3 linked regions of the Cricetulus griseus genome follow. The protein of the gene in region 1 interacts with the protein of each later gene in a biochemical or structural test. Links are inferred from orthologs where the notes say so. Each region holds a gene or a part of one and is shown in the gene's direction. Other genes may lie near its edges. The genes, in order: Bcl3, Nfkb2 and Nfkb1.

Evidence for each region.
Region 2: the proteins of Bcl3 (region 1) and Nfkb2 form a complex in vitro, tested with the Homo sapiens proteins (2 studies listed by BioGRID). The link is inferred for Cricetulus griseus from reciprocal best matches to the Homo sapiens genes BCL3 and NFKB2.
Region 3: the proteins of Bcl3 (region 1) and Nfkb1 form a complex in vitro, tested with the Homo sapiens proteins (2 studies listed by BioGRID). The link is inferred for Cricetulus griseus from reciprocal best matches to the Homo sapiens genes BCL3 and NFKB1.

Annotation. Positions count from the first base shown.
Region 1 is NC_048602.1:27,513,736-27,519,508, forward strand, and holds the start of Bcl3 (B-cell lymphoma 3 protein), read left to right. Parts: upstream 1-2,465; 5' UTR 2,466-2,774; coding exon 2,775-3,015; intron 3,016-5,252; coding exon 5,253-5,406; intron 5,407-5,773. UniProt on the Homo sapiens protein: Contributes to the regulation of transcriptional activation of NF-kappa-B target genes. In the cytoplasm, inhibits the nuclear translocation of the NF-kappa-B p50 subunit.
Region 2 is NC_048596.1:15,286,372-15,292,124, reverse strand, and holds the start of Nfkb2 (nuclear factor NF-kappa-B p100 subunit), read left to right. Parts: upstream 1-1,794; 5' UTR 1,795-1,945; intron 1,946-2,938; 5' UTR 2,939-3,012; coding exon 3,013-3,033; intron 3,034-3,268; coding exon 3,269-3,350; intron 3,351-3,464; coding exon 3,465-3,505; intron 3,506-3,707; coding exon 3,708-3,806; intron 3,807-3,886; coding exon 3,887-4,038; intron 4,039-4,299; coding exon 4,300-4,406; intron 4,407-4,489; coding exon 4,490-4,648; intron 4,649-4,842; coding exon 4,843-4,947; intron 4,948-5,082; coding exon 5,083-5,168; intron 5,169-5,256; coding exon 5,257-5,395; intron 5,396-5,533; coding exon 5,534-5,659; intron 5,660-5,753. UniProt on the Homo sapiens protein: NF-kappa-B is a pleiotropic transcription factor present in almost all cell types and is the endpoint of a series of signal transduction events that are initiated by a vast array of stimuli related to many biological processes such as inflammation, immunity, differentiation, cell growth, tumorigenesis and apoptosis.
Region 3 is NW_023276806.1:23,789,805-23,795,358, forward strand, and holds the start of Nfkb1 (nuclear factor NF-kappa-B p105 subunit), read left to right. Parts: upstream 1-1,901; 5' UTR 1,902-1,963; intron 1,964-5,554.

The DNA of each region.
Region 1 (5,773 bases):
CACAGGGGTTCTGAATATTGAACTCAAATCCTTCAGCTTGGTGTCTAGCACCTGTATCTGATAAGGCATCTCCCTGGCCGTTTGCTCGTTTTTTGGGGGGAAATCATGTAGCCCAGGCTGGCCTCAGGCCTTCTCTGTAGGTAGCTGATGCTGGCCTTTGAAACCCTGGCCACCTCTATGGCACTGGGGTACTGAGTGTGCACCATACCCACCTAGCACTTTCGTTTTTGCTTTATTGGCTCATTTTGTTGAGATAGTTTCCACAGGTTACCCAGGTTGGCCTTCAACTCACTCTGTAGCCCAGGCTAACCCAAACCTTTCTCTCCTTTTGCCTCGACTGCTAAACAACCTGGAATTACAGGCAAACACAATTCCCCTGGTGGCTTGGAGGTGAGATTTGAACCCAGGTCTGGTCTTCTCTCCTGATTCACCTTAATGGCACACTGTGGGTTGGGAGGAGAAGGGCAAGCCAGAAAGAAACAAAAACGGTAGGAAGAGGTAGGTCACCTGGCACCTCGAATCCCACAGACCAGGTTAACCATCCACTTGGGTGGGGCCCCAGCCGGCCAAAGTCCCTTCATAGGCTCCACGCCCACGTTCATGGTCCCAGGACAACGGAGGACTCAGAGACAAAAAAAAAAAAAAAAAAGTGGGGGGAGGGACAGAAAAATGGAGATGTAGGCTCACACCTGTAATCTCAGCACTCTGGAGGCTCAGGTAGGAGGACTGCCCCTAGTCCGTGGCCAGCCTGGGCTACAGAGACCCAATCTGGAAAAACAGTCAGGAAACGGGACAGGAGACAAGGGACCCGGGAACGGGTTTGTAGAGACGCATGGACATCCGGAGAAAGAACCAGGGGACCCCGAGAATCTTCTGGGCGTGTTTGCAGCGCAGTGCCCATTCCCCTGCCTCCCTAAGTCTCCAACCGCCTTCCCCCATCCGCCTCCCTGTGACTCAGTGACCTGGATTCAACCCCAGTGGCCGCTCCACCTCCAGGGATGTCCGGGAAAGCCCCGAGCTGCGGCCCCGCCCCGGGGCGGGCCCCGAGCAGGCTGAGCCTCTGGCCGGCCTCCCCAGCTCCTGTGCCTTTGAGTCAGGGCCCCAACCAGCCGGGCCTGTTCCCCACCCGCCAGCCCCTCCTCGGGGTGGAAAGAGAAGTGGGGGGGAGCTGAGGAAGTCAGCCTGCACCCCCCAAGGCCCACAGTGCTTGGCCTTGAGCCCTAACTGTGGCCTGCTGTCCCAACCTCTTCACTCTGGTCACCCTGTCTCTCGGGATCTGTCTGCAGGTTTCTTCCCTTTGGGATTCAATCTTCTCCTCTGAGGCCTCTGGCTGGGTGCAGGGACCCAGCAGGAGACACATTCGAAGCTCTCGTGCACACACACCCGTCCACCCTCCGCCCTGCAAGCCGGGAGGCACAAGGAAGGCACAGAGTGGCTAGTTCCTGGGCACCAGCCAAAAACCAGTCCCTGCCCTGGGCTGGGCTTTTCATTCTCAGCCTGATGGTGCAGGCCTGCCATCCCCACCTCCTCAAGAGGCAGGCAGGAAGATTCCAAGTTCAAAGCTGTCCTGGGCTACTGAGCAAACGCAAGGTCAGCTTGGGCAGCTTGAAAACTTGGAAAGCAAACAGAAGGTTGGGCCATAAATGCTCAGTGCTGGGACGATTGCTTGCCGAGCACAAGTGCCTGGGCTCCAGTATTGCAAAAAAGAAAAAAGAAAAAAGAAAAAAGAAGAAGAAGAAGAAGAAGAAGAAGAAGAAGAAGAAGAAGAAGAAGAAGAAAAGAAACAAAAGAAACAACTGTGTGTGTGTGTGTGTGTGTGTGTGTGTGTGCATGGCCGAGGTCACCCAAGAGAAAGTAGGAATCAGGATTCAAACCTGTGTCCTAGCAACCCTGTGGCCTCCAAGAATCGCAGGGTTGCGACAGGAGGTGCTGGGTGAAAAACTCAGAAACACTAAAGGAAAGATGGGGCTGGTAACAGTAGGGTTAAAGAGAGGAGGTTGCTCACAAATGTTGACTCCGATAGATAGGCAGCCGCAGCCATGAAATTCAGAGACAGAGTCGGCTGAGACATTTGGATCCCTAGCACGCAGGAGGCACCTGCTCGACCAATAGAAAAATGTGCCTGTTAATGGTGGCCCGAGTCCACAGCCTCAGCTTTTGGGAGGGAAGACAGGAGTTCAAGGTCATCCTCTGCTCCATAGCAAATTCAAGGCTAGCCTGGGCTACATGATCCCTGGGCAAAGAAAAACCAAGGCCCCAGTGGAGCAGGTGTCTTCCCAGCACTCGAGGTGGAAACAGGAGGATCAGAAGGTCAAGACCACCCTCTGCTGCATAGCCACCTCGAGGCTAGCCTGGGCTACATGAGCTTCAGTCTAAGAAAATGAGAGGGAGAGAGAGAGAGGAGGTAGGGAGAGAGAGAGGGGGGGAAAGGACAGAGAGCCAGAGAGAGAGAGAGAGAGAGAGAGAGAGAGAGAGAGAGAGAGAGAGAGAGAATCTTTGGGACCAGACCAAGCTCCGGGCCAGAGAGGCACGCTGAGCAGAGCAGCGGGTGGGGACCAGGAGCGCCGGCTCCGCCTCCGAGACGCGGGTCCAGGAAACCCCTGGGGCGGACGGGTGGCCCTGGGGGCCCGGGGGCGGGGAGGCGGGAGGCGGGCACCGCCCCGGCTGACAAAAGTCCCTTCAGTTCAGTCGGCAGCAGGGGAAGTCCCGCAGCCTGGCGAGACCGCCTTCCCGTGCCGAGCTTGCCGCTCGCCCCGGCGTCTCCGGGCGGCCCGATGCCCCGATGCCCCGCGGGGGCCATGGACGAGGGGCCCGTGGACCTGCGCACCCGGCCCAAGGGCGCCCCGGGCGCCGCACTGCCGCTCCGCAAACGTCCGCTGCGCTCCGCGTCCCCGGAGGCCGCAGCCCCGCGCGCCCCCGCCAGACCCCTGGACCCCCTGCGCAGCAGCTGCGACGCCCCGGCTGTCCCTGGGCCCCCCCACGGCGTGGCCAGGCCGGAGGCGATTTACTACCAGGGTGAGTAGCGCCTCCCAAGCGAGGGCCAGGGCCGGGTGGGGGCCACCTGAGGTCAGTAGAGCATAAGACACAAATAGATGAGGCTCCTGGTAGCTGGGACTCTGGGATGGAGACGAGTGTCCCAGAGATAGTTAGGAAACAGGTTGCAAAGCCCTGCCTGGAGTTCAGCCATGTGGGTACCAAGAGACAGGAGGTCAGAGGGGTGCCCAAGAGTCAAATGGCCGGGGGGCGGGGGATGTCAGGGGACAGTGTCCAGTGGCGCAGATATGGGGTCCCATGGCATCCCAGAGATGCAGAATTTCAGACGGGGAAGGACAAGATGTAAGGACTATGCAGAATTATCACCCGGGCCTTGGAAACTGGGGTTCTGGTATGCAGATATGCAGGGGGCGTAGAAACAGACAGGGCTCGAAGGTTAATCTTGAGAACCAGGATTTCAGGGTGCAAAGGGATTGAGAGAAAGGCATTAGCGTTCTGAGCACTCCCGTGTTTGGAGCACAGGTCTAAACACGTAGAGTCCCAAGGACCCCAATATTGCAAGTTTGGAGGAGTCAGCAAACAAAGCCAGCATTCTGCAGTCAGTTGTGTGTGCTCCCAAGTGTCCCTAGGTCAGGTGGCCCTAGGGGCAGGCTTGGGGACAGAGGGTTCTGGAAAGGGGAACACAACTAAAGAATTCAGAAACTGAAGGACTTAACCCAGGAAAGGGATTCGGGGGCCTGGAAAGGTGGGACTGCAGAAAGGGAACCCCAAAGCTACTCAGACGGCAGGAAGCCAGGAACCCTTCTCCCCAACCTTTATATCAAGGAAGGGGCGTCCCCTTGCACAACCGCCTTACTATATGCTCGATACCCCAGAGCTGCTGACACCTGTTTCTTTGGGCCTTCAGTTTCTTCAGCTGCTAGCCTAGCTATCCATGCTTCATCAGGCCGGCATCAAGCTGTGTAACAGGAGGCCTTCCTTGGCCTGATGGGAACCCTGGCCTCTGTTTTCCCGTCTTTGCAATAGTCCTTCCCAAAGTTCCATCTAAACTGTCCTGGCTCCCTGGCTCCGCTGTGTGTTTACTTCCCACCCAAGACCCGGTCCCTTCAGCTACGAAATGACTCACAGTGTAACTTTGTAACTGGGGTACCCCTGCTGGGTGGTAACAGGGCTCTCCCTGCCCTTAAGGGCCTCTTCTGTAGATGGATGGAGGTCAGGCGTGAGTGAGAGAAGAAACAGCGTCATAGGAGAGACGCGGAATGAGGGATAGGGGTTAGGGGTGAGGGATAAAGGGTGCAGGAATTGGGGGGGAGGGTGCCAGGAATGAGAACATTGTCTCGGGCCTTGAGGACCAAGTTTGAGGAGCTAACAGAATCTGGGATAGCCAAACGTGATGATGCACACCTGTAATCCCAGCACCTGGGAAGCTGCAGCAAGAGGATCTCCTTGAATTTGAGGCCAGCCTGGGCTAAAGCACAGTGACACAGTGTTTCAAAGGAGGGGTGGGGGAGATGGCTCAGGGGTTAAGAGCACTTGCTGCTCTTGCAGAGGACCCGAGCTTATTCCCAACACCTAGGTCTGACAGCTCACAAAGCTGTCTGTAACTCCAGTTCTGGGAGTGCAACGCCCTCTTCCGGCCTCTGGGGGCTTCGGGCAGGCGTGTGGTGTGCATACATACACGCAGGCAAAACATTCATACACTTTTAAAAAGCTGATACAACTTGTAAAAGTAATGACTATAAATAGATCTTTGAAAGAAAAGGGACCTTGGGGCAGGAGAGACGGCTTAGTGTTCTTGGAGTGGACTTGTCTTCAGATCTCGGCACCCACTTAAACTCCCTGTACCGCTGGTTTCAGGGAATCTGGCGCCCTCTGCTGGTCTCCATGGGCACATGCACAAATGTGGTGCACATAAACACCCTCGGTCGTGCACACACACACACACACACACACACACACACACACACACACACACACAGAAAAATTTAAAATGGGTAAATCTTTATATACATAAAAATGTAACAGTAAGTGAAGTGATGCAGGTCTATAATTCATTCCATCTCCCAGGAGATGAGGGCAGGGGGATCGGGATTGGAGGTTATCCCCAGCTACATATTAAATTCAAGGTCAACCCGGGCTACATGAGAATGGGAGCAGGGGATTTGGGAGGATGCCAAGGCCTGGAGGGAGAGACCCCTGGCCAAGGGTCTGTGAGGTTGGCTTCACCCGGGTCATACTGTTGTTTCTGCTGTATCCAGGACCTCTGGTGCCCATTTACCCTACCCCAACGGTGGGACCCCCCTTTCCGCTGCTGAACCTGCCTACACACCTCTACTCCAGGATGTGCCCCGTGGAACACCCCCTTTCAGCTGACATTGCCCTGGCCACCCACGCAGACGAGGATGGAGACACGTAAGTGATAGAGCCTGGAGGAGCCCAGCCCTCTGCGCCATGGGGTCCCACGTCAGGATCTGCCTCCATGGCTCACTGACACTGCACAGAGCTCTCCCCCTAACTGAGCCTCAGTTTCCTCCTATGGAAAATGGGCACTTGAGAGCGCCCATTGGCTAGGGCTGTTGTGGGGGTGGGAGACTGAACCTGTGTACGCTCCTTGCTTGCTCTAACAGGAAGCCACAACCCCAACCTCTCAATTGTATCATAATCCAAAAAACGAGAACTATGCATCTTTCTCTGTTTTCATTTTTTTTTTTGGTTTTATTTACATACATGGGTGTTTGGTCTGTGTGAATGTCTGTGCACCATGTGCGTGCCTGGTGCC
Region 2 (5,753 bases), on another chromosome or scaffold:
AAAAAAAAAAAAACAACCAAAAAACAAAAGACTGAAATGCTTCCTGTTTCAAGCATTTACTCTAAGGGTGGGGCAGATAAGAATTAATACAGCTCCCTTCCTGGTACAAGTCTATGACCATGTCCTAGAGATCGGGGCAAGTCGTGGAAGAAACCTGGAAGATTTGTGCTCCAAGCGTTGAGATGCACTGTGCACACAGCTCCTACAGGGAAAGTTGACAACCAGAGGTGCGGATGTGGAGTCCACGCTATAAATCCTCACTCATGTTGACCTTGTCACTGGATGTGCTCAAGGAGAGGTCACTGAGTGTGAGAGGACAGGACATTCATTTTCAGGGTGACTTTTTCCTTGTATTTTTTTTTTTTTCTTTCTGTGACAGGGTTTCTCTGTAACAGTCCTGGCTGTCCTGAAACTTGCTTTGTAGACCAGGCTGGCCTCGAACTCACAGAGATCCGCCTGCCTCTGCCTCCCAAGTGCTGAGATTAAATGTGTACAACACCACTGCCCAGCTCAGGGTGGCTTTTAAAATAGTTTTTTAAAGATAAATTTATTTTATGTATATGAGTGCTCTATCTGCATGTACACCTTTATGCCGGAAGATGGCATCAGATCCCTCTAGAGACGGTTGTGAGCCACCATGTTGTTGCTGGGACTCGTACTCAGGACCTCTGAAAGACCAGCCATTGCTCTTAAACGCTGAGCCCCAAAATAGATTTTTTTGTGTTTGTAATTCTGGAGGGTTTTGGGAGTGGGTGGGAACTGAGGAATGTGCGCGTGAACTCAGCACTCTCAGAGGCCGGGGGAGAGACAGTGGGATCTGCTGCTGTTACAGTTTCACACACTTGTGAGCTGTCCGAAGTGGAAACTGGGAACAGAACTTCGTCCCCCTGGAAAAGCAGCAGTGAGCGCTTACCCGCTGAGCTGCCTCCCCAGCCTCCTACCAGCTTTGATGATGGACCTCATACATGCAAAGCACACCACCGAGCAATAGCCATTTTCTACACTGGAGGAGGTTTGAATATCATACTTTGGACACCTTTGCGTGCACGTGTGCTGAGACAGGGTGGCGATCCTCCTGTCTCGGTCTCAAGAAAGCCGGGACTGCAGGTCTGCGTGTATCAGCACATCAGTTCTACTGGTCCAGACACCTGTGGTGGATGAACAAGGCCTGAGACTCCCAGTCAAACGCCTCCGTTTCTTTTTCTCCCAGCGCACTGCTCCTCCAGCAGGTCATCCCGAAAGCCTGGACCCCCGTGAACCCGCCACTTAGAGAATAAAATTTAAAACCACGAGTCTCTGTCTCCAGAAGCCTTCAAACCGAGACAGTGGGTGACCCCAGCGTTTCCTCGCAGATCCAGAAAGGCCACTAGATGGCGATGTGGAGCCGACCGCAAGATGAGCCTCCTTCCTCTTCCCCTAACTTCCCAGCACCGAGGTCCCTGTCCCGGAGGGACCCGAGCGTCGGGACTGGCCCGCTTGCCACGGGTTTCCCCGGTTTCAGAGGCAGCCAAGTGCTGGGCGCGGCCAGAGTGAGGGCCCCGTGCGCTCCCTAGCCATGCGGGCCAAGCCCGGGACGGCGCGGAGACCCGAGCCCCGGGCCCCGAGACGCCGCCTCGGCCGTCCCGCCTCGGCCGTCCGCAGCAGAGCGGCCCGGGGGGGACTGACACCCGGTCACCGGTCACCGGCCCGGGCGAGCCTTCCCCGTAAGGGGCGCGCCTGCGTCGCTCGGGGTTGGCTGCGAGAGTCCGGGAGTTAAACTTCCAGCCAATAAGGACCGGGCATGGGGGTGACGCACGGGGACGTCACGGGAATTCCCCCCTCGGGGGGCCGAAAGGGGCTTTCCCGGCGGGAGCCCGGGCTGGAGCCGAGCCGCGGCCGCGCAGGGCAGGGCAGGGCTCGCGGAGAAGAAGCAGCCGGACCCGGGGCCGCCGCCGCCGCCGCCGCGGTGAGTGGCCGGGGCCAGGAGCGGGACGGAGGGAGGAGGGATTCAGGTGGCCGCAGGGGCCGGACACCACCTCGGGAGCGCCCGCCCGCCCAGGAGCGGGACGCCGGCACACAGCGGCTCTCCGCCTGCGCTCGCACAGCCGGCCGGTGCCAGCCGTGCGCTCCCCGCGCCCCGGCGCCGCCACCCGGGCGTGCACCGACGTCCGCCTCGGAGCGCTCCGGGACTCACCTGCGCGGACGAGCGCTCCGCGGCACGTGCGCGCTGCCCCACTCGCTCGCCACGCACACACTCGGGGCTGACACGCTCTCCCGGGCGTGCGCACGCACTGCCACGGCGGTGCGGTCCGGGGTCTCCGCGGCCGCCGCCCGGGCCGGGTGCAGCGCGAGGGTCCGGGAGGCGGGGTCGGGCAGCAGCCGCCGCGGAGGGAAACTCCTCTCCCGCCCTGCGGCTCGGTGCGCTCTCCGTCCGGGCAGAACCCGGGCCCCACGGAAGAGCCCCCGCCTACGGGCCTCCGACGGCAGGAATGTCCCCGCAAAAGCCCCCGGGTGAATCAGCCGTGTCCTCCGCGCCGGCCGAAAACCCCGGGGTTGCTCCGGGCCGCCGAGCGGGGGCGAGGCGGGCTAGGCCCCGACTGAGCCCCGGGGGCTGCAGCCGCCGCGGGGGAGCCAGGGACCGCCCCGCCCCGGCCTCCTCCCGCCCGCCCCTCCCGCCGTGGGGGCGGGGCCAGGCCCCGGCGTCATTTCCAGGCCCGCCCCCTCCGGCTCCGGCTCCGCCTCCCCCTGGTATTTTCGGGACTTTCCTAAGCTGCGCTAACTTTCTGCCCCTTCCCCGCTCCGGCCCCGCTCCGGATCTCGACCTCCACCGGATCTTACCCGCCACGCCCGGACGGGCGGCCGGAGGCGATCAGACCCTCCCCCAGGCCTGGGCCCCCTCTCCTGCCCACCCCACCCCGACCTCTCCCCTCCCCCCATCCCGCGTCTCTCTTCGTTTTAGGCGGGCGTCCGAAACTCTGGGAAGCCGAACAAGGGCCCGAAGCCGCCAGACACGGTCGGGCCTAGCCCAGAGACATGGACAGATGCTACGACCCAGTGAGTCACACTGCCTGCCCTGAAGCCGGCTTGTGCCCCTGTGTCTACCGAAGGCCCCTCCCCTGCTTCTGCTTGTCTTCAGATTGCCTCAGTCTGCCCGTCTGTCCTATCTGCAAACTTTGCCCAGAAAGGAGCCTCTTCCTGGCTTGAGGAGGAGTCCAGTGACTGCTGAGGCTTTGGCACCGGGAGGAGGCGGGCTCAGACTCAGCTGCCACCTTCTCTGTCTGAAACCCAGGGTCTGGATGGCATCCCCGACTATGATGACTTTGAATTCAGCCCCTCCATTGTGGAGCCCAAGGATCCAGCCCCAGAGACAGGTCAGTGAGTCCTTAGCCTCGGGTGTCCCGGAGCCTGGAGGAGTGTGAGCGTGGACCCTCTGCCTGAGGGATGGGCTTGGAGATCCTGGCTGAGCAAGGCCTCTCTGTTTGCAGCTGATGGCCCCTATCTGGTGATTGTGGAGCAGCCCAAGCAGGTGAGTGACCACAGAGGTGTCCCATAGCTTCAGCTCTGGGGACAAGTGGGGGAACTGTAACTGACAGGGGAAGCCACTTTGATTGGATGGTTTGTTGCTGTTGTGGGGAGGAGTTCAGGAGACACACTGTTGGTCATTATGGTCAGCGGGGGTGGGGGGACTGTCTCTCCTGACCACAATGTCTCTGTCATGGAACCCTCAGCGGGGCTTCAGATTTCGATACGGCTGTGAGGGCCCCTCCCATGGAGGCCTACCAGGTGCCTCCAGTGAGAAGGGCCGGAAGACCTACCCTACTGTCAAGGTGAGCTTGGATGCTGCTGGAGGGCTGGCTGGGGGATAGTGTCCAGTGTGCCACTACTGACCGTCCTTTGCCATTCTCAGATCTGTAACTATGAGGGACCAGCCAAGATTGAGGTGGACCTGGTAACACACAGTGACCCACCTCGTGCGCATGCCCACAGTCTGGTGGGCAAGCAGTGCTCAGAGCTGGGGGTCTGCGCTGTGTCTGTAGGACCCAAGGACATGACTGCTCAGTAGGTGCCCCCTGGCCCTGGCCCCCAGAGGGATGTTCATTGCCTGCCAGTCTTGGGTCCCAGCCCCCCCCCCCCCCCCCCGTGAGACTAGCACACAATGGGGAGAGATTTTTACTTTGGCCCAGAACCCCGGGACTCAAGAATAAAGCACAGTTTCCTTAGAGGACAAAGCCAGGCTGAGCCTGGTGGTAAGAAGGCTGTCTCAGGAGGAAAGAGCTCCATGGACAAAGCCCTCTGAGTCCTGCTCCTCCTCCTCCCCAGGTTTAATAATCTGGGTGTCCTGCACGTAACCAAGAAGAACATGATGGAGATTATGATTCAGAAACTTCAAAGGCAGCGGCTTCGTTCCAGTCCGCAGGGCCTTACAGGTATGGCCACTAAGGGTTGTCAGATGCTTTGAGGGCCAGGGTAGTGTGGCCCAGAGTTCACCCCAGCCTGTCTGTCCACCCAGAGGCTGAGCGGAGGGAGCTGGAGCAGGAGGCCAAGGAGCTGAAGAAAGTAATGGACCTGAGCATCGTTCGGCTGCGCTTCTCCGCTTTCCTCCGAGCTAGCGATGGCTCCTTCTCCTTGCCTCTGAAGCCAGTTATCTCCCAGCCCATCCATGACAGCAGTGAGTATCCTGGGGTACCAAGTGTGAGCACCCAGAGGAGCGTTTGGGATGCCTTCAGTCCGTGGGGTTTGAGCCGGCCCTGCCGCGTGTGAGATGAGTGGGCTTATTAGCTAGTCTGAGTGTTGCTTGTCTTTTCCTCAAGTGTGAGATATGACCACAAAGCCAACGTGGCCCTAACCTATCTCCCATCCTAGAGTCTCCAGGGGCCTCAAACCTGAAGATTTCCCGAATGGACAAAACAGCAGGTTCTGTGCGTGGTGGTGATGAAGTTTATTTGCTTTGTGATAAGGTGCAGAAAGGTGAGGCAGGAGGCCTGAGAATTAAAAACACTGGTTGTTGGGGGGGCGGGGCGGGGCGAGGGACGGGGCAACTTCAGAATGAATGCACTGGACCTGCAGATTCTCCCTATGGCTAAGCTTCACTTTTCTCGGTAGATGACATTGAGGTTCGGTTCTATGAGGATGACGAGAATGGGTGGCAAGCCTTTGGGGACTTCTCTCCTACAGACGTTCATAAACAGGTACTGAGGGGCCAGGGCTTGACCTGGAGGCAGACCCAGGCAGAGATCTCACTGACACCAAAGGTCTGTCTCCCACCCTCCACCCCAGTATGCCATTGTGTTCCGGACACCGCCGTATCACAAGATGAAGATAGAGAGACCTGTGACGGTGTTCCTGCAGCTGAAACGCAAGCGTGGGGGGGACGTCTCCGACTCCAAACAGTTCACCTATTACCCTCTGGTGGAAGGTGGGGCCGGGCTTCAGGTTCCCAGGGGCTGGAGGGAGCATGGTGGCCTCGTTGGCGCCCTGGAGGTGGCTGCAGGTTGCCGGGCTTGAAGACTACCGGTGTATTGGATTTTAACTCCCAGTTTCTTGTTCCCGCTAGACAAGGAGGAAGTGCAGCGGAAGCGGAGGAAGGCCTTGCCCACCTTCTCCCAACCCTTCGGGGGCGGATCCCACATGGGTGGGGGTTCTGGGGGCTCTGCTGGGGGTTATGGAGGCGCTGGAGGAGGTGAGCGGGCCCAGTGGCCGGGAGAGGGGTGGCGGAGGTGAGGGGAAGTTAGAAGAGAAGTCTGGGAGAGTCCTGGCTGGCACCTCACAGCCTT
Region 3 (5,554 bases), on another chromosome or scaffold:
TTCTGGAGATCCTGGCCTTAACAGCCACACCTTAATGTCAGGCCTCTGGCTTCAAGGGCTGTGAAGGAACAGATCCCTGACATTGTGGGGACCTGTTGCCACAGACACAGGAGCCTTGTCCACCTGCCTCCCGTACCGCCTCCTGTTTTAGGTGTATTTCATGGGATCACTTTGAGCTTGACATGTGACTTGGTAGATGCTGCTGCTGAACAGTTTTCCCTTCAGGTCCCACGGTAAATCCCACCTGCCTCTCCCTTTGTAACAATCCCTTCTATACCTATGCCTTTGACAGTAGGACTGCCCACACGTTACACACTGTAGTCTTCCTGTCCACGCATGTCAGCAAGAGGAAGGAAAAAAATCATGTGTTGGTGGTCTCTGTGTGTGTCACTTTATGTCACTGAACCTGTGGCTCAGCCCTTGGCTATATTGGTTGGCCAATGAGTTCTAGGGATCCAACTGATGCTGTTTCTCACAGCTGGGGTTACAAATGTCCCCACCTACAACGGCTCTTACATACATGGGTATTAAAGATCTCAACTCCAACCTTGGGACTATGCTCTATGCTGATTGAACTATTTCCCAACCCCCAAGGGGCACAATTTCTAATAATGTCCCATAAAAAGTCTTTGTCTTCCATCTGTATGAAGTTTGTGAGCTCTAGGCGTCCAGATTCACTGGGATTTAAATGACATAGCTTTAAGGTAGATTATTGGGCTCTTGAGGACACTTAATCCCCAATATCAAATATGGAAAACGTGTTTCCTCACAAACATACCAAGAAGGTTTTTACACCCTCAGGGGTTGTGTGATGGAAAGCTGCTCAGAGTAAGTACCAAATCAATACTACCTGCTGACCTGATCCCTGGCGTTTCAAAGTTTCCACTTGAACTCAGTAGTGAGACCCTGAAATATGTTTCAGATCAAAACTCACTCTGGAGCTACCTTGCCCCAGGCTGTCATCCCAGCCCATGGAGGCACTGTGCCCAAAGGATAAAGAAGCTCAAATGCTCGCAAAAGGTCATCCCTGGGAGTCCTCTCCAGAAAAATAACCTCCCTTGAGCCGAATAAGGATTTATGAGCTGTAAACTAACACTGTGGGTCCCACAGTCGCTAGAATTCCATCCACAGCCGTGATCGCACAGGCCGGACAATGTGCTGCGGATGGAATAACTGACCAGATTGAAGACTTCACCCAAACCCAACATAAATTCATAGTTCTCTGGAGAGACATCAGCCACGATCTCGAAATTCCTGTTCGGCCTGCGAAGAGATCTGAGTGCAACCGAGACCCCCAGAGGAGGGAACATGCAGATGAGCTTGACTTTTGTGCGGGGCACGTGGGGACCGAGCGGGTCTCCGGTGGCCTCCAGCTGTTCGGGCCTGCCCTTGGGCAGCTGGGCGCCTCCCGGGGGCGTCACGGCCGCCGCGGGGCTCGGGGTTCGGGGCGCCGGGTCGGGAGGCGCGGGCTTCCCCCACCCCCGGCGGCGACCCCACCTCCCGCCCCCGCTGCGCGCGCGCGTGGGTCCGTCCGTCTGTCTGCTCTCTCGACGTCAGTGGGAATTTCCAGCCAGGAAGTGAGAGAGTGAGCGAGAGAGGACGAGAGAGAAGTACCGAGGCGGGCGAGCCGGGCAGGAAGAGGAGGTTTCGCCACCGGAGCGGCCCGGCTGCGCGCTGACGGCTTCCCGTGCCCTGCGCGCCCCCGGCCTCCCGCCGCCGCCGCCGCCCTCGCCTGCTCGCGGGCCAGCTCCAGCAGCGCAGGCCGGACGGAGCTCAGGGCCCCGCCGCGCCCGGCCCGCACCGCGCTTCCCGCCGCGCCGCAGCCATGGCGCGCCGCTGAGCCGCCGACCCCGGCCCGCACCCCCGGACCCCGCTCGGGCTCCCGCCGGTCCGCGCCGCCCCGCCCCGCAGCGGGAGCCCGCAGGCGCCGAGAGGCCGCGCCGCGCCGCGCCGCACCTCCAGGGTAAGCCTCGGGGGTTGGGGCGAGGGGCGCAGCCGCCCCCTGTGCGCCGCAGCCCCGCGGCGGGTCCGAGCGGCTCGCAGCTGCGCGGGGCTCCGGGCGGGTCCGCGGGGAGGGCGCGGGGATGAGCGGGGGAGTCCGGGCCGGAGTTGCGGGACGCGCGGCCCCCGGCTGCGGGGACAGGGCACATCCGCACTGGGCGGCCCGAGGCCTCCCCGGCCGGCCGGGCCCTCCGCGTCTCCGCGGGCGGGAACGGGAACCGGAGGGGAACTCTGGCAAAGTTTTAGAAATGTCTACCCAAGCCCCTGCCGCGGGGTGGGGGATGGCTGCCGGGCTGAGGTCCGCCGCGGAGGAGAGCTAGGAAGGTGCTTGGTGCAGTGCACAGCCAGATTTCACCAAAGGCAGGCAGCCGGGCGGGCGGTGAAATGAAAGCAGAAGTGCCTGTCAGTCCTCCAGGCTGGCAGCCCCCTTCCCAGCTCCTCGGAATCCAGCAGGAGAGCCTGAGGCCCACTTTCTGATCTGTGATAGACACCCCCCCAACACACACACACACACACACACACACACACACACACACACGGCCCACTTTCTGATCTGTGATAGACACCCCCCAACACACACACACACACACACACACACACACACACACACACACACACAACACACAGAGTGCATTCAGCTGCCAGATCTCAACATTGATCACCCCCCCACACACACACACACACACACACACACACACACACACACACACACACACACACACAGAGTGCATTCAGCTGCCAGATCTCAACATTGATTTTCAAAATATGAGGAGGGCCTCACACCGATTCTCCAGGCCTTGGCATTAGAGAGAGAAATTACCTACTAATTTAAGCGCCTCTTAGACACTTGATTGCAGGAAACTCTAGGATAATGGCACCATGTATCGTGCATGACCTCTAAAACAAAACAAAACAACCACAAAACACCATACAAACGACGCCTTTCCTACATATAAGCTTTCTTAGGTCTTCTGAGATAGAGGCCGATCTTGGTTCTGTTTACTGGTCTCTTCTGAAACTTAAATGGAACTAATGATAAAAAAAAAGATTTCATCACCTAGATTTAACCCACTTTTGTGGACATTTTAAAGATTGACATTGCAGCTAAGTTACCATATTTAACTAAAAAAGTTTTTGTCGTAGGGCTCATAACTGAGAAATGCTTTCGGTGTTTATTAACATTTTGATAGCCATGACATCAAATAACGAGGTATAGACTGATGGTCGTTGGTAAATATGAAAGCTGGAGATGAAGATAGACTTCGGTAGCTTTCTAGTGAAATCCTCAGCTGAGTATTCTTGGGTGGCATAAAATGCGTTAATATTTGTAAGACCTTAAAAAGGGAAACTTGATTAAAGTAAGCCCCTAACTGAAATGTGTTTTTCCCTGATTTTCATATTGTGCTTTCTAGAGATGGAGCCACTTACTGTCTGATGAACTAAAAATTATGTAAATTATTTACAACAAAGTACTTTGCTTAGCATATGAACTTGAGAAGACAGGAATGAAAAGATTTGCTTCCTATTGGATTTAACATTTGTCATCCAATTGGATGACTAGCAGAACACACGTAATGATGGCAATGTGAAATCTGTAGCTCTTGCCCATGTGGATACATCTGGGAGTCTCTTGCTAGCTTAGAGAAAAATGTCTTCTTGGCTTAACATACTCAACAAACTTGAGCACAAAAGAAGGCTTCTGGGTAGACTTAATGCTGGCACTAAAATACTATACTTGCTGTGAAATGCTAACCACTTCAAAACCAAAAGACTTTTAAAGAAAGTTGTCTAATCTTGTTAAAGGCTGGTGGCCACCTGACAATCTGTTATCTTTGTTCTGAAATTCAGTTGCATCTTGTGTTCTACGTATGGCAATTACTTGAGCTGAGTAGGTAGTAAATGTCCCCGTGTTTCAAAGCCAGTTAGTAAATACTGGAGTATACATACAAAAATAGTCTTTCCCCTTTGTAAGCACTGCTTTGATCTTTGTGTTTCCTTTTTTTGCTTCTGCCTCTAGAACTCAGCCAGGCTGACTGAGTCACAGTGGGTTAAAGCCCAACTAGTTGGAAATGGGCAGCATTTTAGATTTAGTGGCCATGTCCCTTGCCGTGGTCCCTTCAGACGAATCGAAGCTAAGTGGAGAAGCTAGTATTTCTGCAGGCTGTTTTCTCTGCTGCTTTCAGACTTCCAGATAACTGATGAAGCAAGCCACTGCCTTGACGTTCAGGGATTGCTCATTGTGGTAGATAGAGCTAGATAAAACTTGGCAGCCACATGGATTGTGGATTATCATTCAATCAGCAAGCCCAGGGTTTTACCTAATTTATTTATAAGGTATTCCCCTGCTCAGAAGAGGTGAGATTTCTGACTTCTAGGGGGCAGTAACCACTTCACAGCCGTCAATTAATTTGAGCTTGAGAAAAGAAAGAAAAGTAGCTGCCATTTTTAAATAATAAGCTAAATAATTATTCCTAAATTGCCAGGTAGATTCATTGTTTAGCCAGACTAGGATAAACCTAGGGCCTTATGAGTGGTCTACTATGGAACTATACCTCCATACCTCCAAATGCCTCTAGCCCTGCTGGCAGGATTTTTGGATAATGTGCTCAAGATACCATTTATTCCCCCACTCCTAGAATTTACCAATAGGTGTCCTGTCCTGGGCCCAGAGATACTATGTTAGCAAGTGTACCAGGAATACAGATTGGATGTATGTGAGTCAGTATCTGCAGAAATTCTCATGGGCTTGTCTTCTGGTAGGAAGCTGTCTTGTTTGGATGGCTTTCCAGCGTTCTGCTTGCAACATGAATCAATTCTATAAGGTAGTGCGACTGTTGTGTTCGAGGGCCAGGAGAAGGGCGAGTAGTAGAATTATACTAGAAGACCAGCATGCCTTAGTCCTGCATTTCTGTCCCATTAAGGCTGGTTGGCACCCGGAGCACCTGGTTCTGCTTCTGGGAATTGTGGTTTGTGCTTTTGCACCTCTTTTCAGTACTGGAGCTGGTTGTTGTTTTAGAGGTGAGCAGGTGAGAAGAGTAAGAGCAGATGGGTGTATCCCAGGGAATGCATTCTGTCGAAGCTTCAGGGTTTGAGGCTTTCCACTAAGTGCAGACGCTCAGCCTCAGGGAGGAATGTTTGGAAGATGGGCATAGTCTTGCAAGAGTAGATAGAGTCTGGGAGAGTTTGAAAACCACACAGTGTAGTTTGGTAGAGTTAATAGTTCTTATCTTTGTGGTGTTGCCTTAATGGATATGCATTGTCTTGTTGGGAAGAAGGGAAGAGAGGGAGAAGACGGGAAGCAAGGGAGGAAAGGGGGGAAGGAGAGAGGGAAGGCATTCTTTTCCTGCTGATGAATTGATTTACCCTTCTTGCTTCTGTACTGTCTTAGAGGATACTAGTTAATATTTTCAGATGATATTGGAAGACTAACAAATAGTTTAAAAATGAGATAAGACTGGTTTACTTCAACACCAAGAGTTTAAACTAATATAAGATAGGATTTGGTAACAACTGTGAAGTCCAAGAGAAGACAATATATAGATAAAACTTTCAT